Linked DNA regions of Solanum lycopersicum. The protein of the gene in region 1 interacts with the protein of each later gene in a pairwise test. Links are inferred from orthologs where the notes say so. Each region holds a gene or a part of one and is shown on either strand. Other genes may lie near its edges. The genes, in order: SOS1 and SOS2.

The links.
Region 2: the proteins of SOS1 (region 1) and SOS2 interact in binary tests that used the Arabidopsis thaliana proteins (3 or more experiments, as listed by UniProt). The link is inferred for Solanum lycopersicum from reciprocal best matches to the Arabidopsis thaliana genes SOS1 and SOS2.

What each region holds. Positions count from the first base shown.
Region 1 is NC_090800.1:384,155-397,385, reverse strand, and holds the end of SOS1 (plasmalemma Na+/H+ antiporter), read left to right. Parts: intron 1-964; coding exon 965-1,149; intron 1,150-1,260; coding exon 1,261-1,308; intron 1,309-1,420; coding exon 1,421-1,528; intron 1,529-2,315; coding exon 2,316-2,547; intron 2,548-2,850; coding exon 2,851-3,153; intron 3,154-4,033; coding exon 4,034-4,131; intron 4,132-4,412; coding exon 4,413-4,544; intron 4,545-4,627; coding exon 4,628-4,846; intron 4,847-4,929; coding exon 4,930-5,136; intron 5,137-5,738; coding exon 5,739-6,006; intron 6,007-6,696; coding exon 6,697-7,001; intron 7,002-7,437; coding exon 7,438-7,770; 3' UTR 7,771-7,971; downstream 7,972-13,231. Other genes in the region: protein XRI1-like, read right to left, coding at 12,970-13,231. UniProt on the Arabidopsis thaliana protein: Acts in electroneutral exchange of protons for cations such as Na(+) or Li(+) across plasma membrane. Involved in Na(+) and K(+) homeostasis.
Region 2 is NC_090811.1:3,242,544-3,254,528, forward strand, and holds the end of SOS2 (calcineurin B-like interacting protein kinase), read right to left. Parts: coding exon 11,876-11,985; intron 11,253-11,875; coding exon 11,190-11,252; intron 11,072-11,189; coding exon 11,000-11,071; intron 9,984-10,999; coding exon 9,876-9,983; intron 9,796-9,875; coding exon 9,721-9,795; intron 9,617-9,720; coding exon 9,563-9,616; intron 8,681-9,562; coding exon 8,555-8,680; intron 8,033-8,554; coding exon 7,943-8,032; intron 7,561-7,942; coding exon 7,438-7,560; intron 7,267-7,437; coding exon 7,147-7,266; intron 6,624-7,146; coding exon 6,507-6,623; intron 5,991-6,506; coding exon 5,934-5,990; intron 5,850-5,933; coding exon 5,775-5,849; intron 5,669-5,774; coding exon 5,573-5,668; 3' UTR 5,333-5,572; downstream 1-5,332. UniProt on the Arabidopsis thaliana protein: Involved in the regulatory pathway for the control of intracellular Na(+) and K(+) homeostasis and salt tolerance.

The DNA.
Region 1 (13,231 bases):
TATTTTCTGTAGATTTTGCCTGCAAGTGATATTTATCAAAATGAATTTGGTACTGATGGCCTTTAACAGATCTCATATACTACTTGAAGTGTCTTCCGACTAAGAGTTAGCGGACATTAAATAAGTGAAGGAGCTGTTGGTGCTACTTGTGAGAAATATGACACGGGAAAGAGTTTATGTGAATGTGTGTAAATAATTGTTTTACATTGAGCCTTATCTTTATCCATACTTCACATATAGTGTATAATACAGATTTTCAGTATGGGACACAAAGTCTAATATATACACTAACCATCTGTACTTCCCCTCAAGCCAGTGCATATCAGTCGCATGTACCAAACATATAACAGATGTGACTAATGCGAAGACCAGTGAGTGGCTTTGTGAAAATATTTGCAAGCTGATCATTTGATTTCACAAATTTGTTAACAATATCTCCTGATAGTATCTATTCTCTGATGAAGTGATAATCAATATCTATGTGTTTAGTCATTTCATAGAACAGTAGATGTGATGCAATATGAAGGGTCGCTGGATTATCACACACAAGTTCCAAGTTCCATCTGAACAATTTCTCCAAATTGCAATTCTGTAAGCAATTGTATTATCCAAACTAGCTACAAGTTGCTATAATCATTGCTTGATCTTATGCTACTGCACTAGATTGAGCAACCACATTCTGTTTCTGCTCTTCCAAAACACCAAATTACTTCCTGCTAAAACACAATATCCAGCCAGAAAAAAAAAGCGCCATGATTGGATTTTATATTTTTTACTTTGCCCAATTTTTGTAGTTTGTGCCTTTCTCTTTTGGCCTCTCTATTTACACGAGTATTATGATTGTTTATATGTATGTGGGGACGGCTAGTTTCTGTTCTATTTCAAATGATAGTCTTCTACACTCAGTTCAACTTCCATTCTAGTTAAACTACATCTCTGCTAAATGCTTTTTAATGTATTTCAGATAATTCGTGGGGCTACCTCATCCTTCTTTATGTGCTTATCCTTGTCTCACGGGCCGTTGTAGTTGGTGTATTGTATCCATTTTTACGATACTTTGGCTATGGTTTGGACTTGAAAGAGGCTTTTATTCTTGTCTGGGGTGGCCTTCGAGGTGCTGTAGCGTTGTCCCTTTCATTGTCAGTCAAGGTAACTATGTGCGGGTGCTTGATCTCTCCAAGCCCTCTCATTCATTCTGCAAAAAATTCTTACCTAAGTGTGCCTTTGTTTATGACACTATTCCTTCCTGGCTGTTTTCAGCGTTCCAGTGATGGCTCCCAATACATCAGTTCTGATACTGGAACTCTGGTAAGTAGAAGAAAAGAAGTGTTAGTGGGAAATGCAACAAGTTTGAAGTTTTCTATACTTAATTATCTTTTAGCTGTACCTTTCTAGTCATACAGGCCTTCTTCTGTTGCAGTTTGTTTTCTTGACTGGTGGGGTTGTATTTTTGACGCTCATCATCAACGGTTCAACCACACAGTTTGCTTTACATTATCTGGGAATGGATAAGCTATCAGCAGCAAAGGTAGAGTTGATTTCGACGTGGTACTATTTTGTCCTTGTTGGAGCTTTAGAGGTGGAAAAATGGTTTTTTTTCCCCAATGGTTTTCGATTTCTTTAAGGGATGTTAATGGAGTAAATGGGTGGTCTAGGAAGACGTTTTTATATCCAACCCATTTTTCAACTACGTAAAATGGGTGACAAATGGAATAAATAACTATTCATCTAACCCCATTTATGCTAGCTCATCTATCATCAGTTAACCATGTTTGCTGCCTGAACTGTTTCTTTATGTGGTTTGCCGTTGATGGCAATCAAATTTGTCAGCTCCTCGGAAATTGGAATATGCCCTGCATAGCAGAATTTGTATCTTTTATGGACCGACTGCTTTTCTCTAACTGACCTAAAAAAACACTACATGATATTGAATTTAAGCAAAAATATGAAAAGAAATCACTTTACCTCCTTATCATAAAAAGAAAAGGATATTACCTTCACATTTCAGAACTGTTCAAAGACCAAATCCTATGATGGCAGGATGAGATGGAAGACCTCTGCCTCTGACATGATAAGGAAATCTATATGCTTGGAAAACAGGGAGGGGGGGCATAATGAATTAAAAGAGAGATGGTATCACTTGGATAACTAAAGTAAGTAGTTCAATTAGTCAATTACTTTTTTAAATGAAACACTAACCTTTCGTGTTGAACAGTAGATGCTTAGATAAGCAAGTAAAGTCCTGTTATTTGTAGCTTTATATTTTAAATCTTCTTCAATAGATTCTATAAATAACATAGTTCATCTCATTGCAGAAGCGCATATTGAACTACACAAAATATGAGATGTTGAATAAAGCTCTGGAAGCATTTGGTGATCTTGGAGATGATGAGGAACTAGGACCTGCTGACTGGCCAACTGTTAAAAGATATATTACTAGCCTAAATGATGTGGAGGGTGAACCAGTGCATCCTCATACCTCATCTGGAAATGATGATAATGTGGACCATATGCATTTAGAAGATATTCGGATCCGCCTGCTAAATGGTGAGAACATTACATTCTCAATTTATAGTTCATCTTGTTTGTGATCTGTTCTGTAACTTCTAGGTCATTTTCCTCAATAATTGCTGTTTCACTTATGCAATCGATCATATGACCACTAACACACCAAATTACCTTCCATCAGTACAGTGTATATGGAGTAGAGCGTCACTCATAGGTGACTCTATGCAGTGTTCATCTGTACAGTAGAAAACCTTATATTTTGTCTATCCTAGTGAAAATTCTTGCTCTTCCATTGATCATGATATTCAAATTTGATTGTTAAAAGTGAAATTATGTTTCCAGGTGTTCAAGCAGCATACTGGGAAATGCTCAATGAGGGCAGGATCCCACAAACTATAGCGAATCTTCTAATGCAATCTGTGGAGGAAGCAAATGACGTAGTATCGCATGAGCCCTTATGTGATTGGAAGGGTTTAAAATCTTATGTTAATATCCCAAATTATTACAAGTTTCTTCAAACAAGTTTTGTCCACCGGAAGCTTGTTACATATTTCACTGTTGAGAGGTTAGAGTCTGCATGCTATATCTGTGCTGGATTTCTCCGGGCGCATAGAACTGCCCGACAGCAACTAAATGAATTTATCGGTAAGTAACTAGTAATGATTTCTATATAGCATCTTTTTGGCACATCCTTTCCAGCGTGTTATGATTCTTTTCGATTATGTTTGACTTCCCCTGCTCATCTTTGGTTGGACCATTTCTTTCTGCCTACAAATTATCAGTGGCGAAGGTTGAATGCTGAGACATTTTAGCTGAACATAACAAAGCCTTTTCCATTGGCCAAAAAGTCTTTTTGCATTTAAAGATTAGATAGTCAGCTTGAATAGTTTAACGACGTCAATTCTTATGGTGGTTTTCCTAACCTTTTTTTGTTGATGAAGACTACTGATTAGGTCTTTGATATGAAATTTCTCAATTGTTCAGTTTGCTCGATAAACAATAATCTGAGGATTGACTTCTTTAGATTGTGACTTCCTACAATTGTGTTGAAGTTGAACTATTGCATTCAAGTGACGCATTCTTCTATATTTTAAGGTGCGTGATGGTCTATAAGGCATAAGGTGAAGATAGTACTAAGAAATGTTGAAAACTATAGATATCTGGCGTGATAGGAGTGAAAAAGCTTCCATCAGGTGGTATCCTTGTGTTTATCTTTATGCTGTTGGTAGTAATGACTGATAAAGGTTGCACATTGGGCTAAAAAGCTACTATTATTACATTTTTTTCTCTTATGTGTTCTCTTCCCAAGAGAAGGGAGAAAAGGAAAATATTTTACCAAGAACCTTTTCTTATGCTACCTAATGAATGCCTCAACTTTAGCACCACTTTTGTGGCTTTTTTGTTTTTATTCTCTTTATGAGGAAGCTTTCTCAGCAGTGAAATCCTTACAGGAGAGAAAAAATAAAGAAAAAGAATGATATGTATTGGAGTTGGAAGTTTCTTATGCAGGCAATGATGATTTCAGGTGAGAGTGAAATTGCTTCCCTTGTTATCAAGGAAAGCGAGGAAGAAGGAGAGGATGCACGGAAGTTTCTGGAAGAAGTCCGTGTCTCATTTCCTCAGGTATACAAAGACAAATCTCTCTCAATGAGCTCAATATTTCCTGCTAGACTGAAACATGTTGAATAAAAATACTAGAGGGTGCAGCCTGGTAGTACAAGAAATTTATGCTACCTGCATTTTTTTGCCAGCTTTCTGCATGCTTGAATCATGGTCATTATATTTTGAAATCAAGAATACAGCTGTCTGGTTTCTGCAACGTATAAATGAACTTTATGTGTTGACAATATCCAGTCTGCTTTTTGAGTAATTTTATTTGGTTATAAAAGAAAGTACATACTCAGGTTCTCCGAGTTGTGAAAACCAGACAAGTTACTTATGCGGTGTTGAATCACTTGATTGATTATGTCCATAATCTTGAGAAGATTGGTATATTGGAGGAAAAAGAGATGGCACATCTTCACGATGCTGTCCAGGTGAGCATTTGATTCTTATCTGCTAGTCCAATTTCATTGCTTTTGTCTTACATCTGATTTCATACATGATGTATTTTGTGCAGACTGATTTGAAAAGGCTTGTAAGAAATCCACCTCTGGTTAAATTTCCGAAAATTCGTGATTTGATTAGTGTCAATCCTTTGTTGGGAGCTCTACCCCCTACGGTGCGTGAGACACTAATTGGTTCAACCAAGGAGATAATGAAGTTACGTGGTGCAACCCTCTATGAAGAGGGATCAAAGGCAACTAGAGTTTGGCTTATTTCAAATGGTGTAGTGAAGGTAATTAGTAATGTAATGGTTATTACAATAATAACTTTTTAGCCAAAAACATCTTTCTGACAATATGATATCGTGTTTGATAGTGGTCAAGTAAGAGCACAAGTAATATTCATCTACTGCATCCAACTTTTTCACATGGGAGTACTCTAGGTTTATATGAAGTGCTGGTGGGAAAGCCTTACATCTGTGACATTATAACGGATTCCGTGGCTCTCTGCTTTTCTGTTGATAATGAGAGGATACTTACTGCTCTCAGATCTGATCCAGCTGTAGAAGATTTCTTTTGGCAGGTATTTTGAATGATTATCATTTTCAACTTTTCTTTTGGCTTCCATACATACATATGTCTATGCTTAACACAGCTTTCTCGTCATTATCAGTATAGTGAGAAATAGCAGAGTTCTTCAACTACTGAAAGAGTATTCTGAGTTAAGACACAAGAGGAGATTTTGGGTCCCTAACATTGACTTTCTTACCATACTGCAAGTTTTTTTTAAAAAAAAGAAAACTTTCTCACCATATTTTGCATGGTTCCTCCGCTATCTTTTAACACAAAAGAAAAGTAAGAACTCAAGTACATCTCAGCAAGGAAGGACTTAATTATACTAAGGTCTAGAATTGCTCCGATTGAGTGAAAGTGTTTCAGAAAAGTTGCCTTTTTTGCTTTACCTATCAGAAGAAAAATATATCACCTTGAATGGTCTTCAACGATACTCCAAGGCTTTGTTGTTTCTGCTGTTTGCATTTCTGTCTCTACAAAATTAAACTGCTTCCCAATATAGAAAGATCCCATCTGAGGGAAGAGTGCCACATTAAATGGAATAGAGGTAGTAACTAGAATATAAGGTTTTTTTGAAGCAGTGACTCACACAAAATATCTTGTTATCTGCAGGAAAGTGCACTTGTGCTTGCCAAAGTCTTGCTTCCTCAAATGTTTGAAACGACAAAAATGCAAGATATGAGAACTCTGGTTGCAGAAAGGTCAACTATGAGCATATACATAAGAGGGGAAAGTTTTGAATTGCCTCACCATTCCATTGGTTTTCTGTTGGAGGGATTTGTTAAATCTCATGGTTCACATGAAGGGCTTCTTTCAGCTCCTGCACCGTTACTGCCTTTGGCATTGGAACAACAAAGCTTCCACAACACAGAAGCATCAGGTTGCTTCTCACCCCTTTAGCTGCAGTATTTCAGTATCCCACTCTTTGTAATTAGGGGACAGCTGAAATATTGGTTATACTAAGTGTTATTAGAAGCGAGAAGCGCAAAAAAGCTCTAAATTCTATCGGCGCTTAAAGTGCAAATAAAGCGCCAGCTTTCATGAAAAAGGGTGCAAAAAGAGAAAGAATACAAATATATTTATTTTAGACCAAGACTAATAATTGTAAGTACAAACAACAAATATATGGACAGGAAACTGAAAAAAGATAACGGTGAAGTGATATATCAATTGTGCAGTGTTGCTTGCCTCTTCAGGAAATGCTCGTTGCCTCTTCAGGAAAGACCTTGATGACGATACTAACACCGCACATTAAGCGAGGAAAAACACTCTTAACATGTTTGAGCCTCGCTTCAGGACTTAAGTGCGCCTTTGACAACACCTGTTTATACTACCTCCCATATGGTCTTTGATTATAAACTTACACGACTGTTAAAAACAAAAAAATTTGTGGTATGCTGACAATTTTATTCTCTCTTAAGGTTGGCATATATTCAATTAATATTTTTTGCTTCAGAAATTGATAGTACTTGCAACTTCGATTATTTGCATAAATCCTCTCTGATCTATAGCCTCATCTCAGATAATTCTGATTAATTTGTATTTATTTATTTTTTTGGTTCAATATTAGGTGTCCATGCTGCTAGTTTTTCTCATCAACCTTCTCAGTATCAAGTTGAGACAAGGGCAAGGGTGATTATGTTTGATATTGCGGGATTTCTATCAGGCAGGGGTCTCCAGAGAAGATCATCTTCGCTATTATCTCACTCAATTGATCATCCCTCAAGGTCTTTTAGTAGAGAGCTTGGTGGTTTAATGAGCTGGCCAGAAAATACTTATAAGGCTATGCAACATAGACAGGATGTGGAACGAACTGGTCAACAGGAAACCAATATGTCTACCCGCGCAATGCAGCTAAACATCTTCGGAAGCATGGTTAGTAGGAAAATTTATTTCACAATTTCTTTGGCCCATAACAAAGTTTACTTAAATGTTAGGCTTTGGGGAATAGAGCAACTGCTCAAAACAGTGTGTCGATTAGGCCGGAATTCTATTTACTGTTTGACGGAGCATGCCATGTCCTTGTACCTTTTTGGTTTTGGAGCTAACGAGTTTGTGTTTGATAGACAACATTTTTGATAACATAAATATAAAATGTTCATCTATAGTGGAAGTGTTAAAATGAAAACTCGTGCCAAGTTTAAGGGTCTGTTTATGTGTTTAGTCATTATGATTTCTCCTACTCACTCACATCTATCCCATTCCTCCACCCACCCCTTCACTCACATCTATCCCGTTCTTGTCTTATTCATCATCGAGTTGAAATCACCAGTTTTCGATATTGGCTTACTTGCTCTTTTTTGGTTATTAGATAAGCGACACAAGAAGTCGTTCGAGAAGTTTTCCTGGAATTAGTGCAGCCAAAACCTCTCACAGTCAGTCATATCCAGAGGTTCGATCAGATGGTGTACAAACACTTGTTTCTGTTAGATCTGAAGGATCTACCACATTGCGAAAGAAGGCTCAAGTGCAAGGAGAGAATAAAGATATGAGTATACAACTTCCAAGCGCACCAATTGAAGAAAGTGACACAAGAGAGTACTCGAGTGATGATTCTGGTGGCGAGGATGAGCACCTCATCAGAATTGATTCGGGAAGACCAAGCTTTCCTCAATGGATCGCAGAGGAAGATAAAACATCATAGGCAGACTGAGCCTTTCCACACTGTGATTATGTGAATACTACTATGAACATTGATTTATGTATCGTTTTATGTTTGAATAAAGTAGCATATATTGTTCTAAAACAAGTTCATTTGAATAATGTATTGCGAAAAAGAAGCGCTGCTTTGTATTGAGGAAGTTATGAACTCACTTATATATGATGGTCTCAAATTTTTATTTCCAGAGAAGCTCTTCTACATAGATGTCCAAAATGTATAATGTACAATCTTTCTCTGAAGAAAAAGCCAACATTCTATTGATCCTGTTTAATAAGATTGATAGCTTTTTATTGTGACTAAAAGCTGTAATCTCCTAATTTCTGAACAGCTACTCTCAAGTATATAATTGTCTTGTTTTGTTGAATTATAGTGTTATATACGGTAGTAAAGATGTCAGGTGGAAAAAGAGCAGTAGTAAACAACAAAAAATATGATCACTCAAACAATGAAAACAACATGTCATACTAAGAAGTAGGAGAGTAATAATAATATAATATTGATAAAGGGAACTATTAGACAACACTTGGACTACCTATTATTTTTTTGTTGTTGTTTCTCGCTCGGTATTCATTATCCATATTGGAGTCTGATTAAATCTGAATTCGCATCAAAAAGTCCCATATTGGGGGGTGAAGCCCTTCCTAATAAAGGTGACTCCGTACACAAGCCCGACACCTTTTGGTTAAGGATGAAGAAGTACTTACAACTCCATTAAACTCTTATTGAAACACAACTATCTAATTATCAATTAATATTTTACTTTAATCCTCAATCTTTATATTTTCTATTTAGGGTTTCATCCCCATTCCTTGATAAGTTATAAATATGACATACTCTGTCTAATCATCTCTCCCCAAAATTTCTTCGACCTACCTCTATCTCTCCTAATACAAGCACCCTAAGATCCAAGTATAATGCTTGAGGAGTTGAGGGTGAACAAGATAGAAATATATTGGGCTCAACACTAACGAATCGATGTATACATTAATTTGTTAGAAGTAGTGTTGTTGTATCATCCTTTAGTATAATGCTTGAGGAGTTGAGGGTGAACAAGATAGAGAAAAGTGAGGATTAAATAGTTCAGATATGTAAAAAAAGGAGGTGCATAAATCTGTCAATTAAAAGGTGTGAGAGGTTGGTCGTAGCAATAGTTAGAAGAGGTAGAGATGGACCTACAAAAATTTTAGTGAAGATGATTTAATAGGAGACACACCACTAACTGAGTACTCGTCCTTAGATAGAGAGGTACAACGACAATCAAAAGTTAATATAAATGGTTAGTAGGTAACGAGTATGGTCATTTATTAGGTGGGTGAGATAAGAATGGGGTCCTTTTCTTTTTAGTAATAGTTGTATATAGTATCACATAGTTTCTTATTCATATATATATTTCTATTATCTATTGCTTCATTTTACTTTGAATTTTGATCATATTTTATTGTCATTTTTTCTTCTGACAATCCTTCTATATATATGAATAATTTTTTTAAAAAACCGATGAACTACTGAAAACAACCTATATACTCCACGATGATAGATATAAGCTAGGGTTTGCATATGTCTCATCATCTCTAAATCACACTTGAATTTACACCAGATACATATTTGAATATGTTGTTATATCCCATCCAAGTCCATTTCATGGGATTTTATATCATAAAATGATGTGAAAACTGCATTCTTTTGACGTCATCAATATTTTTTTAATAGAAAAATTAAAAATTAATTGAAATCCTAAGGACACAAATCACAATATAAAGTGTATATTTTTATTGTATATTATATATCTGAATGAGAATCTAATTCTCTATTCATTTGGGATTTGAGAAAAAGCAAAAGGTAGAGGGATAATATTCTCACATATATCTAGGTTTATTTATTATCTCTTCCTCCTCCTTTTTTCCTCTTTGCTTTAATAATAATCTTTCTTTTTCTTTTACTCTTTTGGCTACTTGTCTTTTCCTTTATTTTCTCTCTAAATAAATTCATGTAATAAAAGTAACTGTAATACTTGAATTTCAAAGTATTTTCCTACTTCCATTGTATTTGTGTGTATATCGAAATATTTCACTTTGTATCTCTTTTGCTTTCTCCGTTTCATATTAATTATGATATTTCTGGAACTAGGCACAATCTTAATTTTATCATAAAAAATGTGTAGAATTATTATAAACAAGTAAAAACGAAGGAAAATATTTTAAGTGTATTATTTTGTAAAATAAATAAGTGGATTAATTATACTTTTTACACTTGTATAAATTCTTAAGAAGAAAAATAATATTCTATAGAATTACATAATATTTGGAGATCTGACCTCCTGACTTATAATTTCTTTATTGAAGTGAGGAACTATACTTTTTATGGAAAGTCAAATCAAAAACTCTGTTTAAGGCTGAGCAATAATCTCAAAAAGTCATTAACTCATTTCAGAAATAAATCTAAAAGGTATAATAATAATAATAATAATAATAATAATATTTTTACAAATGAGAATGAAAGAAGATAGTCTTGAGAAGTAAAAAGTTTTTTTGTTTAGATCCTTAGGAGAAGAGACAGTTAATGCACTGTATTAAATATTATATTTATATTCAGAATAACGAACAAAAATATAGCTATTATGGAAAGTTTCTCATAATATTATGTCCTTAATGAAATAATTAACAGATGATAATATTATTTGTTGAAAAAATCATCTACTAGCTATCAGATTTTCCACTTAAGCATATCTAACTTATAAAATTATTCATACCTACTATAATTAAATAATTATTAAAAAAAGTTGTGCCCAAAAATGTCAAATAACCAGGTCTAATCTAATGTATAATTGTTCCAGAAAAGACAAAAAAAATAGATATTTTTGTTTAGTTTGTCATACAGCTATAAAATATGCCTGCCATAATTATTAAGTTTAAATTAAAATATACGCCTACTATAGACAAACTTTTAATTTAAATAAACTTTACCATATAATAAAAAGAAACTAATTAATTATTTTTGATTCACCAGATATTCTCGCTTTTGAAAAGAGTCAGTAAAAAGTAAAAATATAAATTAACTTAAACTAATTTAAAATTTAAATAGAATTTTTATAATCGAAATACCGTAACATTTCACTAACGAAACAAGTTTCTTTCGAAATCAATTTTTTATATTATATTTTTTTTTATAATAACATTCTACCTCTAATAATAATCACATTTATTGTAACAATACACCCTTTGTAAATAGTCAATCTCAAATATTTTCCATATCTTATCCCTTTCTTTCTCCCATAGTTTTCAAACAAGGTCATACATAGTCTAGAATTCCACCTCACCAACCTATTAGTAATTAATAGATTAATTTCAAATTAAAACATAAAATCATGCACATTACACTAATGATTAATTAATTAGGGTCCTACATATAATTAAACTTTAAACATAGGGTGATGATTTTCCTTTTTTTTAACCAAATCTTGTTTTTATACCAATTGTTACATATAATGATTTGTCCTTCACAAAGTGTTATGGGAAATGGTCCTTTTTTTATGAAACTTATTATATGGTAACATGTGCCTCCTATGATAGCTACTCATTTTAATTTGTCCTATATTTAAAATTTATGGACTATAGACTATGGACCTTCCACCAACAATATTATATTTTCTTAGTTTTAGTGAAATAAAAGTAACATAAGTGCAAACATGTATCAAAAAGAAAGTTTGACAATGTCACTTACTAGTTATATTAACTTTACTTTTATCTCATCAAGACATCATTAGTATGTTTGTTATAAGTGATTTTATGCCTCTCAACTAATTTAACTATTATTTTTTCATTAACCATGATTTAGATAAATATAAAAAAAATCACCTTTGATTTGATCACTAGATTAAAAATATAACTTTAAAAGTCTGGAAAATAATTATCACTAAAAATTATTTGCTTTAAAAAAAAGATTATTTTAATTTCTTAAAAATAATCGGTGATAATTATTTGATTTTTTTAATTGAAGAATATCTTTTCCTGCTCAAATCTTAAATGTTAAGAGGGGTAAGGCGAAATTGAATTATATTATAATTATGGAGTTATTAAATATAAAAAATGTAATTTTTTTTTTATCAACCTTTACCTTTTTTTTTCTCTTTATTTTTTTTCTTTAATAAATGAACTTCTTTCCTTTTTTTCTTTTTCTTTTTTCCCCTTTACTAATTTCAACTTATTATACTAAGCCTTTAGGATGCAATATAGTCAAAGAGATAGTTCACTTTAGCCACATGCGTTGCTTTCCTCCTAAGTATTTTTTTCCTTATAACCTAACACTTATTAATTCTTTTTCAAAAAATAGACCTAACACTAATTATTTGATCATATTGATTTGTTAATTGTCAACATGATCATAGTGCGTACCTTTTCTCATCTCTCTTACTATGGATCTTCACAAATTTAATGAGATATAAGCAAATCAATTGTCAGATTGATATTACTACTACTACATATTTTAGGATATTGTAATTCTAAATATAGTCTGAGATATCACAGAATTTTTATATTGTGGTATCAGAACGTACTTGAGGGAGTAAAAGTGAAATTATCCCAAACTTTAACGTAGGAGAATTAATTTTTTTTTTATAGTTACACAAATATTATAACACATTTAAATCCATAAATTTTAAAAAAATTATAGACATATAAAGGATACTCCTATATCACACTTTAGAACATAATTTAAAACTAGAGTAACATTTTTGGATTATTATTAGGACCTTTGTTCAGTCCATTATTCTGCTTAACTACGTACGTACAAACAAGATCCCTTTATAACTCAAAATAGTACTTTAAGAATCTTCAAATTGTCAGAAATATAATTTTAAAAGCAAAACATTTTTCATCCTAATTTTCAGTAATAAACATAGAATCTATACATCCACTTGCATCCATATATATATTCATATCATATATCATACACTCTTTAATTCTCATTGAATAACTACAAAGAATATCAACAAGGGCGAAACGAGCTGCCAGGTCTTTCCATTTTGAAACGTTACAATCATTTTTCTCAACCTATTTCATCAATCAAATGAGCAAAAGATAGAATATAAAGATACATATTCTCTTTTAGTTTTACCTTCCTATCTGATCCTACATACCTCGAAATAGACCCTAGCTAGCTACCTAGGTGGTACGTCCTCTCCAATCACCCTCGAGTCCTTATAATTGTGATTGTCCCCCTCCCTTGAGTATGAATTTTGGTGAGTGCAACCACCGTCTTGCCGGATAATCCTGGTCCAGCAGGGCATACGGTCGAACGACATGCAAAGTCCCCAACCGGATGCCTTACGGGCCGGGTCGGCCTCATTAGAATCCTCTCGTTAATGTCATTTAATGTCACGTCTCCTTCTTGCCCTCCGGGCTTCACTAGCCCAAATGGATACACAATTTTTCCACACATTCTTCTC
Region 2 (11,985 bases), on another chromosome or scaffold:
GCTTTGGGGCTCGTTTGACATTAACTATGGGTCGTTTTAGCTGTCAGTGTCAACTGACTCCATAGCTAACGTCTTAATGGACGTACACAAAAAATTTGATCACCAAAAAACGATCGTGGACGATCTCACACGAAAATAGGCAAAATGAAGGGTTTATCTGCTCTAGGACTCGTTTGACCTTCAAAATGGGTCATTTTATTCGTTAGAGCCAATTGGCTTAATAGATAATGTTTTAATGGACGTCCATGAAAAGTTTGGGCAAAAAAGACGTTGAAATTTCGGATCATTAAAAATTCATGGACTAAAGTACACAAAAATTGGCAAAATGGTGTTTACCTGCTTCGGGGCTCGTTTGATCTTGAAAATTGATTGTTTTACTTGTCAGGGCAATTTGAATCCATAGTTAACGTTTAAATGGACTTTCACAAAAAATTTAGGCAAAAAAGACATCACCTAAAATCCATGGACTACATTACACGCAAATTGGCAAAATGGGGGTTTACCTGATCCGGGGATCGTTAACCTTGAAAATGTGCCACTATGGCCGTCAGAGCCAACTGGATTCATAGTTAACATCTTAATAAACTTCCACGAAAAAATTTAGAAAAAAGAAGTCGAAATTTTGAATCACAAAAAATTTATGGACCATAGCACACGAAAATCAGCAAAATTAGGGATTTACCTTCTCCGAGGGCTTTATTTAACATTCAAAATGAGTCATTATGCCCGTCACGGACAACTGGATCCACACCTAACATCTTAATGGACATCCACAAAAATTTGGGCATTAAAAATAATAGAATTCTGGATCACCAAAGAAGATTGTGGACTATAGCATACGAAAATCGATAAAAATAATGGGTTTACCTGCTTTGGGACTCGTTTGACCTTTTAATAGGTTGTTTTGGTCGTCACGGCCAACCAGATTCATAAATAACGTCTTAACGGATGTCTATAAAAATTTGAACAAAAAATACGTAGGAATCTCATGTCACCAATAATCCATGGACTATATCACACGAAAATTGGCAAAATGAGGTTTACCTGCTTTGGGGCTCGTTTGACATTGAAAATGAGTCGTTTTAGCCTTCAGAACATCTGGCTCCATAGCTAATGTCTTAACGGACGTACATAAAAGATTTGGGTAAAGAAGACGTCACTATTCTGGATCACCAAAAATTCATGGACTATAGCACACGAAAATCGATAAAGTAAGGGGTTTACCTGCTCTGGGGCTCATTTGACCTTCAAAATGGGCCGGTTTGACCGTCAGAGCCAACTATTTCCATAGTTAACGTCTTAAGGGGCATCCACAAAAATTTTGGGTAAAAAAGATATCAGAATTCTGGATCACCAAAAAAGATCATGGACTATAGCCCACGAAAATTGGTAACATGAGGGGTATACCTGCTTTTGTGCTCGTTTGACATTTAAAATGGGTTTTTTTGGCCGTCAGAGCCAATTTGCTCCACTAGAAAACGTCTTAACGGACTTTCAGGGAAAATTTAAGCAAAAAAGACGTCGAAATTCTGGATCATAAAAAATTCATAGACTATAGTACACGAAAATTGGAAAAATAGGAGGTTTACCTTCTCCAAGACTCGTTTGACCTTCAAAATGGGTTATTTGGACCGTCAAGGCCAACTAGCTCCATAGCTAACGTCTTAACAGACATCCACAAAAAATAAGGGTAACAAAGACATCAAAATTGTGGATCACCAAAAAATACCATGAACTATATAGCACATGAAAATCTACAGAATGGGGGATTTACCAGCTCTAGGCTTGTTAGACCATAAAAATGGGTCGTTTTGGCCATTGTGGTCAAGTGACTCCATAGCTAACGTCTTAAAGGACGTTTAAAAAATCTTTTGACAAAAAGACGCCAGAATTCTGGATCACCAAAAAAGATTGTGGACTATAACACATGAAAATCTGCAAAATGAGGGGTTTACATGCTCTGGGGCTCGTTTGACCTTTAAAATTGGTCGTTTTGACCGTTAGGGCCAACTATCTCCCTAGATAACGTCTTAGCGGACGTCCACAAATAAGACATCAAATTTCTGAATCACCGAAAATCCATGGACTGCTTCGGGGCTCGTTTGACCTTTAAAATGGATCATTTTGACCGTTAGGGCTAATGGATCCATATGTAACATCTTAACAAATGACCACAAAAAATTTGGGCAAAAAAGACATCGAAATTATATATCATCAAAAATACATGGACTAGCACATGAATATCGACCAAATGGATAGTTTACCTGCTCCGAGACTCGTTTGACTTTCAAAATGGGTACTTTTGACTGTTAGGGCCAACTAGCTCCATAGATAACGTCTTAACGGACGTCTTAAAGACGTTGAAATTCTGGATTACCAAAAAAATTGTGGGCAATAACATACAAAAATTGACGAAACAAGAGATTTTATCTTCTCCAGGACCCGTTTGACCTTCAAAATAGCCCGTTTTGGCCTTCATGACCAACTGCTCCATAGATAACGTCTTAATGGACATCCACAAAAAAGTTTGGCAAAAAAGACGTCGAAGTTCTTGATCACCAAAAATCCTTAGACTATAGTACACGAAAAATCGGTAAAATGGGGTTTACCTGCATCGAAGCTTGTTTGACCTTGAAAATAAGTTGTTTTGTCCATGAAGGCTAACATGATCCATAGTTAACATATTAATGGACGTCCACGAAAAAATTTGACAAAAAAGACTTCGAAATTCTGGATCACCAAAAATCGATGGACTATAGCACACAAAAATGGAAAAATCGGTGGTTTACCTGCTCTGAGCTCGTTTGACCTTTAAAATAATTTGTTTTGACTGTTAAGACAAACTTGTACCATAACTAACGTGCTAACAAATGTCTACAATAAATTTGGGCAAAAGAGACGTCGAAATTCTAGGTCACCAAAAAGGAATGTGGATTATAGCACACAAAAATCGGTAAAATGATCGGTTACCTGCTCTGGGGCTCGTTTGACCTTCAAAATGAGTCATTTTGGATGTCAAGGCCAACTGGATCCATAGATAACATCTTAACAGACGTCCATGAATTATTTGGGCAAAAACTACGACCGAATTCTGAATCACCCAAAATCCATTGACAATAGTACACGAAAATTGGCAAAATGAGATTTACTTGCTTCAGGGCTCGTTTGACCTTAAAAATTAGTTGTTTGACCATCAGGGCCAACGTACTCCATATCTAACGTTTAACGAACTTCCACGAAAAACTAGGGCAAAAAAGACGTTAGAGTTCTGGATTACCAAAAATTCATAGACTATAGCATACAAAAATTGGCAAAACGGGGATTTACATGCTCCGTGACTTATTTGACCTTCAAAATGGGTTGTTATGACCGTCAGGTCCAATTGGCTCAATAGCTATCGTCTTAAAGGACCTCCACAAAAAAATTAGCTAACAAAGACATCAAAATTCTGGATCACCAAAAAAGATCGTGGACTATAGCACTAAAAAATCGGCAAAATAAGGGATTTACCAGCTCTGAGGCTCGTTTGATCATCAAAATGGATCGTTTTGGCCGTCAGACCAACTCGTTCCATATATGACGTCTTAACGGACGTCCAAAAAAAGTTTGGGCAAAAAAGACATCGCAATTCTGGATCACCGAAAAATCCATGGACTATAGTACACAAAAATCGACAAAATAAAGTTTACTTTGAAAATGAGTTGTTTTGATTGTCAGGGTCAATTGGCTCTATAATGATGTATTAACGTATGTCCTAAAAAAAATTAGACAAAAAAGACGTTGGAATTTCGGATTAAAAATCGATAAAATTAGGGGTTTACCTACTCCGCGGCTCGTTTGACCTTCAAAATGGATCGGTTTGGCCGTGTTGGCCAATTGGCTCCATATCTAACGTCTTAAAGGACTTCCACAAAAAATTTGAGGATAAAAATCATTGGAACTCTAGATCACCAAAAAAGATCGTGAACTATAGCACACAAAAATCGACAAAACAGGGGGATTTATATGCTCTGGGGCTCGTTTCACCTTCAAAATGGATTGTATTAGTCGTAAAGGCCAACTAGCTCCATAGGTAACATCTTAATAGACGTCTATGAAAACTTTTGACAAAAAAAGATGTTAGAATTCTGGATTATTAAATATCTATGGACTATAGTACACATAAATCAACAAAATGGGGCTTACCTAATTCGGGGCTCGTAAATTGGTCATTTTGGTCGTCAGGGCAATCTGATTCCGTAGCTAACGTCTTAACGGACGTCCACTAAAAATTTTGGCAAAAAAGATGTCGGAATTTTGAATCACCAAAAACTCATTGACTATAACACACAAAAATCAGCAAAAATGAGGGTTTCCCTGCCCGGGGCTCGTTGGACCTTGAAAATGAAGCGTTTTGGTTGTCTGGTCCAACTGGGTCCATAACTAAGGTATCAACGGACTTCCGTGAAAAATTTCAAAAAAAATATCGTCGGAACTTTTTATCACCAAAAAAGATGGTGAACTATAAGACATAAAAATCGGCAAAATCGGAGGTTTACCTGCTCTGGAGCTCGTTTGACCTTGAAAATGGGTCATTTTTGCCGTCAGGGTCAACTGAATCCATAGCTAAGGTCTGAAAAATTTCAGCAAAAATGACATTGGAATCGGATCACCATAAATTCATGGACTATATCACACGAAAATCGATAAAATTGGGGATTTACCTACTCCGGAGCCCGATTAAACTTAAAAATGGGTCATTTTGGTCGTCTGGGCCAATTGGATCCATAACTAAGGTCTTATCAGACGTCCATGAATATTTTTGGCAAATATGATATCGGAATTTTGAATCACTAAAAATTCTTGCACAATAGCACATAAAAATCAGGAAAATGGGGGATTAACCTTCTCCGGGACTTGTTTGACCTTGAAAATTGATCATTTTGACCGTCTTGGACAACTCGATCCGTAGCTAAGGTATTAACGGACGTCCATGAAGAATTTTGAAAGAAAAAAAAACAATATGTAGGTTTAGAACTGTGGGACTTTGCTCTTTAATTAACCTTTAGTTAATTAAGTTTAAAATTAAAAGATATTATAATAGGCATTCTATCAAAAAATACACTAAAACCTACGCAAGCACTCGTATTAAATGTTTAAGATCAAACAATATGGCAATAAGGTTTTACATTCTTGACTTCTTGGTGAAGAATTGAAGTGCTTCTTTGCAAACACGTTTGCAATAAAGAAATATTCTACTAATAGTATACTTTGAGGTGATAATTTATTTTTTTTTTTAAAAATGAAAACTAACTGTACCGATACCAAAGAGAAACCGATATTATTGGGATGGTTTTGAAAAGTCTAGTTTTGGTTATACATTATATAATATCCGAAAAATTGGTTACAACTGATCGAACCGTCTCATTTACAACCCTACTTGTATTGCTTTTGAGCCCATGATTTATCACTTAAGATATGTAGTGAACAAAAGATTAACAACATGCAGTTACACACACTATACCTAACACAACGAACGTCTTCGGAGCACATCAAATTGATAAGTGATTCACTTCATTCCCAGAAATCTGGTTCAGCGAGTCCTTGTCCTAAGCAGAACAGCATTTGACATGCCTTCCTTCGGTTTCCAAATGACGTCGTCAATTTTCGTGCAGAAGGTTTTGTAGAACTGCAAATGCACATAACGTCATTTTCGTGCAGAAGCTAAATATAAGTATGTAATGCAAGCTATAGTGAAAAAAAAAAAATCAGTCAAAGTTGAGTGTAGAAGCAACCTTGTGATATTCAAGAGTGTCCCCAGCAGCCTTTCTAACATCAACCATAAAAAGGGAAGGGGCTACTTGGAAAACCTTCACAAATTATAGAAAGAGTGGTCAAATGAAAATAAGAAACACCGATCTTAAGATGAATCGGTTTATTAAGTTTAAAGTTACCTCCAGCACAACAGCAAATTGACCAGCCCTATTTGCCGTTACCCCCTCAATTCTTGTCTGCAATGAGAAGAGTGGTTCAATAAATCAATTCCCACTCAATAACGAGAAACTTACCCAGGGTATTCTCGTTTAAGAACACGATAGAATTACCATTAGTTTGTATCCAGTGACAAAAAGGAGTGGTACTCCTCGCTCTGTGTTATAAAATTATAGATCTGCCCCTAGTTCCAAGATGTTTGCATCTTAAGCAACAGATAAATTTACAACCATCATTCATTCAGTGTTAAGCAAAATGCGACTAAAGCTTATGTGGCACAGTTACGATTTTGCTCCTTATAAAGAGCAGGAAAAATTGAAGGGGTGAATTCCTCCTGTATATTCCATTTTCTTTGATGTTGAAAGGAAATTGCTGTTTAATAGATTGTGGGAAAAGGGTAAAAAAAAATGCTGAAAATTACAGTTGATCCAATGGGAAACTGATTATTTAGTTACAACAATGCTTCATTCTGATTGAATTCAAATTTGAATAAAAGAGAATCATTTGTCCCTGAATATGGAGAGTTAGAAATATACCTTGTAATCGCGTGTGTGGACCTTAAGACCCAACGACTCTGCAGCTGCTTCAATAGTTTCAATGACGACTTTAGCAGGTTGGCGGGAAATAAATCGAGTTTGACGCTTGACATAATCCTGTAAGAATGAGAGAGGAAATTACTCTTTGTTATAAGAAGGAAGTTGTCAAAACCTTAATAGCAAAGAGACAACCTACTACACATGTCAGCATTTTTAAATTTGTAGAAACATAAATAACTCAATCATTAAAAATATAAGCTATTCAGATCATATCTGACACTTTTTTTTTTAAACGAAAAAATAATCGCGACGTATTTGATCTAAAATTAGATTTAGAAAAGTTGATATTATGTAGCATTGGCTCTGAGCCACTTGACTACAAGGAAAAAGGAGAAAAAAAAGAGGCCAAAAATAGTGAGAGATAAATTAACGTGCTTCTATATAAGAGCATGCTAACTAAAAATTCAAGGAAGAATCAATTTACATATCCCATCAGATTCTCTTCCTTATCCAAGAAACGAAAAGCTTACAAGAAGAAGCGGGAGAAAGAGATAAAACAGATGACGTTGTGATGAATTAAAATCTGGAAACGTCGGGTATGGTTTATTTTTTGGTCCATGAACTAAATTAATCATTGTACCTGACGTCTGTCAAACAAAGCGGATAGATTTAATCCCTGAGATAGTGTTATCATCTCAAATGCATTCATTACCAAGGGACCACTCTCACTATCTTCTGATTTTTCACTGACAAATGCATCCTGCACATAAAAATAGAACATATCAAACCTATAATGGGTGAGAACATCGAAGTATCAGGCCAATCACTTCAGTTAATCTAAATCCAGAGTACAATTTATCTTAAACTTGATCACTTCCTCACACAGACATACTAGTTAGCATACTAGAAGACGAATGTGAAAAGATTCAACCTCAATGTCGTCGAACACAGCATGGATATCATCAAGATTCACTACTTCATCTGCTTTAGCTTTAACAGCTCTGTAGTTTTTCCGGAACCAAGGGTCTCGTTTTATTCCATCAATCTTGATCCTCTGCATGTACATGGTTCTGAGTAAATCACTATGAAAACACTAAAAGGACTTTTGTACATGTTATGCTGAAGTTTCACAAATTAACCAAGAAAGAGGGAATGAGAAAAGGAACACTTATACTGAACAAAAGCAAAGAATGAGCAGAAGGCATGCTTAAGGCATTTCTCACATTTAAAATGACCTCAAAAAGGATTTCTATAACCAATCCGGGAAATTTGGAAGGAATTTAATCCATGTTACGGGGCTTCTCATATTTCATCATGAGGGATTTGTTTTTCCAGTACAACTTTAATGTTATAAGCTTATAGTAGATTGAATAATTAAGTGACAAATAGGCAATCGGACACCATAGTTTTCAGGGTTGAAAATATAGTGCACTTACAGTTTGAGGATTTGGATCAATGATTTTTTGAATCAACGATGTTGCACCAGGAGAAAACCAAAATGGACAGGAAAATTCAGCAGCCTTGATCTGTGTCAATATTAAAAGCAATAAGAAATTTGTGCAGAACAAACCATAACATTTAACATATAGTAAGCCACACATAGAGCAAACAATAACTTTAACATATAGCAAGCCGTGTACAAGTAATGTCAAGTTCTTTTAAAGCCCCAATTAATCTAATAAAAAACAAACAAAAAACAAATAATGGTAATAATAAAAAACACAAGGAGGAAACTCATGCAGATGAAGATGAAATTAAAAATACGGAACAATATTTTTTATGAGAGCAGTGTGGTCGATGCCAAGTGAAAGAGAGCTTATCCTTCACACAAAGGTCAGAGAGCTGAATAAATATATCAATCAACTCATTACACCTCAATCCTAATCAGAAATGAATAATATACATATGAGAAAAGAACAAATATTGTCCCTCATATGACCTATGATCCTTAGCATTTGTCACTATATAAGAAGAAAAAGAGAATCATTTGACAGAATTATCTATGCTTCCATTTAACACATTACAAATGCATGATGACTGCATCTAACCTTTGTATACAAGGTAGGAAGGTCTGTCTCATCAAATGGAAGATATCCTGCCATCAGAACATAAAGGATGATACCACATGACCACACATCCGCAGCAGCACCATCATAACCTCGGTTACCTAACACCTGAAGAAGTAACTAAGAGTAATAAGCCAGCTACCACAGAAAGAGTCCAAACACATTCGAATATAAGAAAACATAGTAAGCAAATTAACATATGTTCAGCAATTGACATAGTTCAGACAAATTCAACTTGATGCAAACCTCTTATATTAAACAATTCAGCACAAGGTTATGATGTTACCCAAAGAAAGGTAACTGACAGTTACTGCAATGATTTGAAGGTATATTACTACAGAGCTCATGGAAGGGAAATAAATTCTGATTCTCTCTCATTTGATGACTAATCAAAAGCCAATTGATCATGCTAGGTAAAAGGGATAGCAATGAATTAAAATGAAAGACAACCACCCCTCTGCTTCGCTTCTTTCTGATTCAAGCTCCTTGCAGATAAAACAAATACACACGGTGCTTATTATTGTGGACATCATTGAGGATGTATGAGGAATGGGAAAATAGATAAGAGGACCTAAGTTTCTAATCAATGAACCTGAAAGTCGGAGCTAGCACGGCAGAATCAAACAATACTCAGTGACATATTAATGATATAACTTAAATCTAGGCAGAACCAAACAATAAGTATAGCTGGTGCAAGTTACATATTAATGATAAGAAACTGTCATGAATAAATTCAGGCCAAACACGTGGAAATTCTTCTTAATTTTGGGTGGTGGTGAGATTCGATCTCAAGACCTCTGCTTGGCACTGATACCATGTTGAAGTGTGTGACCATCTCATCTAAAAGCTTAAGGTGTTAGAGAGAGTACATTTTTTATTACTCAATTATATTCTCAACAAAGGGTTTTGGGATAGCAAGCCAATCAAATGAAGAATGAAGGGTTGCATGTACAAAACAAGAAGAACATTCAAAATATATATGCATCATACCTCAGGTGCAACATAATTTGGAGTCCCACAAGTGGTATAGAGGAGCTCGACTCCCTGTTAGAGATTTGAGTAAATTCCCATTTAGAAGCTCTAATGAACAAGGAAAGAAACAAAAATAGATATACAATCTAATGCAACTAACATCAGATGTTGCTTACTTGTTGAGGCAATGCACTAAGCCCAAAGTCAGAAATTTTTAAGTTCCCTTGGAAATCAAGAAGCAAATTTTCAGGCTGGGGAACAAGGAGCAATAGTTAAAAGATTAAGATATATAATTTTCACAAAATATCTCTTCCAATCAGCAATTGCGAACCTTCAAATCTCTGTGGTAAACACCCTTGCTGTGACAGTGAGCAATTGCATCTATGAGTTCTTGGAAGTATCTCCTTGCTTCATCCTCAGAAAGCCTACCTAGATGAACCTATAAATTGAACGAATATAGAATTGAAGAGACAGATACATTACTAAATCTTGAAAATCAAACCTTGATAACTCATAGGGAGAAGGACAAAATAAACCATAAAGGGTTAAAGCTCCATGAGCTGAAGTAAACTAGTAAAGACGCAAGTGCCTAATTGGAAACTGGACTACTATCAATGAACCAGCTTATACCTAAGTAACCCAACAATTTATATGTTTGATGAGGATGAGATTTAGTTGATCAGAACCAGGCTGGATCATGCATTTCATACCAACTATTCAGGAATACTGAAAAAAATGTACAAAGTTCATAAGCGAAAATAATCCTTCTCGATAGAGTTCATCTCTGACAGAGAAAAACTGATTTAAAGCTAAATCGTCACTGACAAATTAAGCATTTCCGATCACTATCTTGTGCTTAAATAAGACTGGTAACACCTATCCAGAGGAACCTCTTGATCAGATGGAATTTTTGACTTACTAGAAGGTAACTCAACACACTCTTAACTGCTTTGAGAGTAAAGAAAATGATCTCCAAGCTCTCCACATAAAAAGCATGGACTGGAATTACTTTATCCAAATACAGAATGTCTTTTTCTACGGATATCTCAGCATGCCTCTATTTTTCAAATATAAAAAAGAGATATCTCGGTCATGCCTCTATTTCTCATTATACAGATTACTCCACCAGACTATTGCTTTGTGAATATTGTATAGGATGCACCAAAGATATCTGCTGCTCACTCCATTATCTACTTCCCCATCCTCCATAAGTATCTTGACCCAAACTACAGCTCATCCTAATAAATGAAGATTATCACTTCATAGAAATTCGTCATGGGCACACATCTTAGTTGCAACAATGTCTCAATCGTGCCTCTATTTTCATTTACAGATTACCTTCCTAGTCATTATCAGATGGAGAGTTATCCATCATCACATACAAGGAACAAGAAGTCTGCAAGAGTTATTGATTAAAGAAGGAAAAATCTTATTGAAAATTCTAAGGAATCTTACAATTTTATCAAAAAGCTCTCCTCCAGTGACAAACTCCTGAACGATATATATTTTTGTCTGGCTAGCTAAAACCTACAAGGGAACACAAAATCAATAAACATCAGCAACAGCAAGTAGCAACGATAATAGAACAACCAAACTCACAGTAGTATTTGTAATATAATACTTTTTATTCTTTTTTTCTTTTTACCTCATGAAGTCGAACTATGCAAGGATGTCTGACAATCTTCATTATAGATATCTCTCTTTTGATCTGGAAACCATCTCAAAGAACAGCACATTGATCAGCCAAAATGCCAGACATGGATAACAAGGACGGTAGAATAATCACACACAGACCCCAGAATGTGCTCTATTAACACAGAAATCTATTTCAAATGCAAACAGATAATAAAAATTCAATATGATCAAATCTTAATTCTTTTACACAGCTAAACTATTGCCAACCATCAGTTAAGAGGCTTAAAAATCCATCAACCAACTAAAATTTGACTATAATTACTCAATAATGGAGAACATGCTGATGTTCACTAATAGAATTCAGCTCAGATACCAGGCACATTCACATAGTTCAATTTTGATAACAGAGTTCATTGCTACGGCGTTCAATGTGAGCTTAATAGTCCACCACTGAAGCTGTCATGGTTACCCTTGATTCACATCAGATCAGAAAAGCCTACTGAAGTTCGACAGAAAAGATTTCAGACCTAAGTTCAATAATAATCACTTCACAGATTAGAATAACTTTTCTAATTATCAAGCTCCAACCTTTGAATATGGGATATGTGAACACCACTGTTATCAAAATAAAATAACAAAAATGCAGGACATGTAAAGCATATACTCGAGTGTTTGAAGGGAAGTATATCTTAATACCTGTTCAACCATTCTATGCTTAAGAATGGTACTTTTGGCCAAGACTTTAATGGCAACATTCTCTCCAGTCTCGGTGTTTCGTGCAAACTTAACCTTGGCAAATGTCCCTT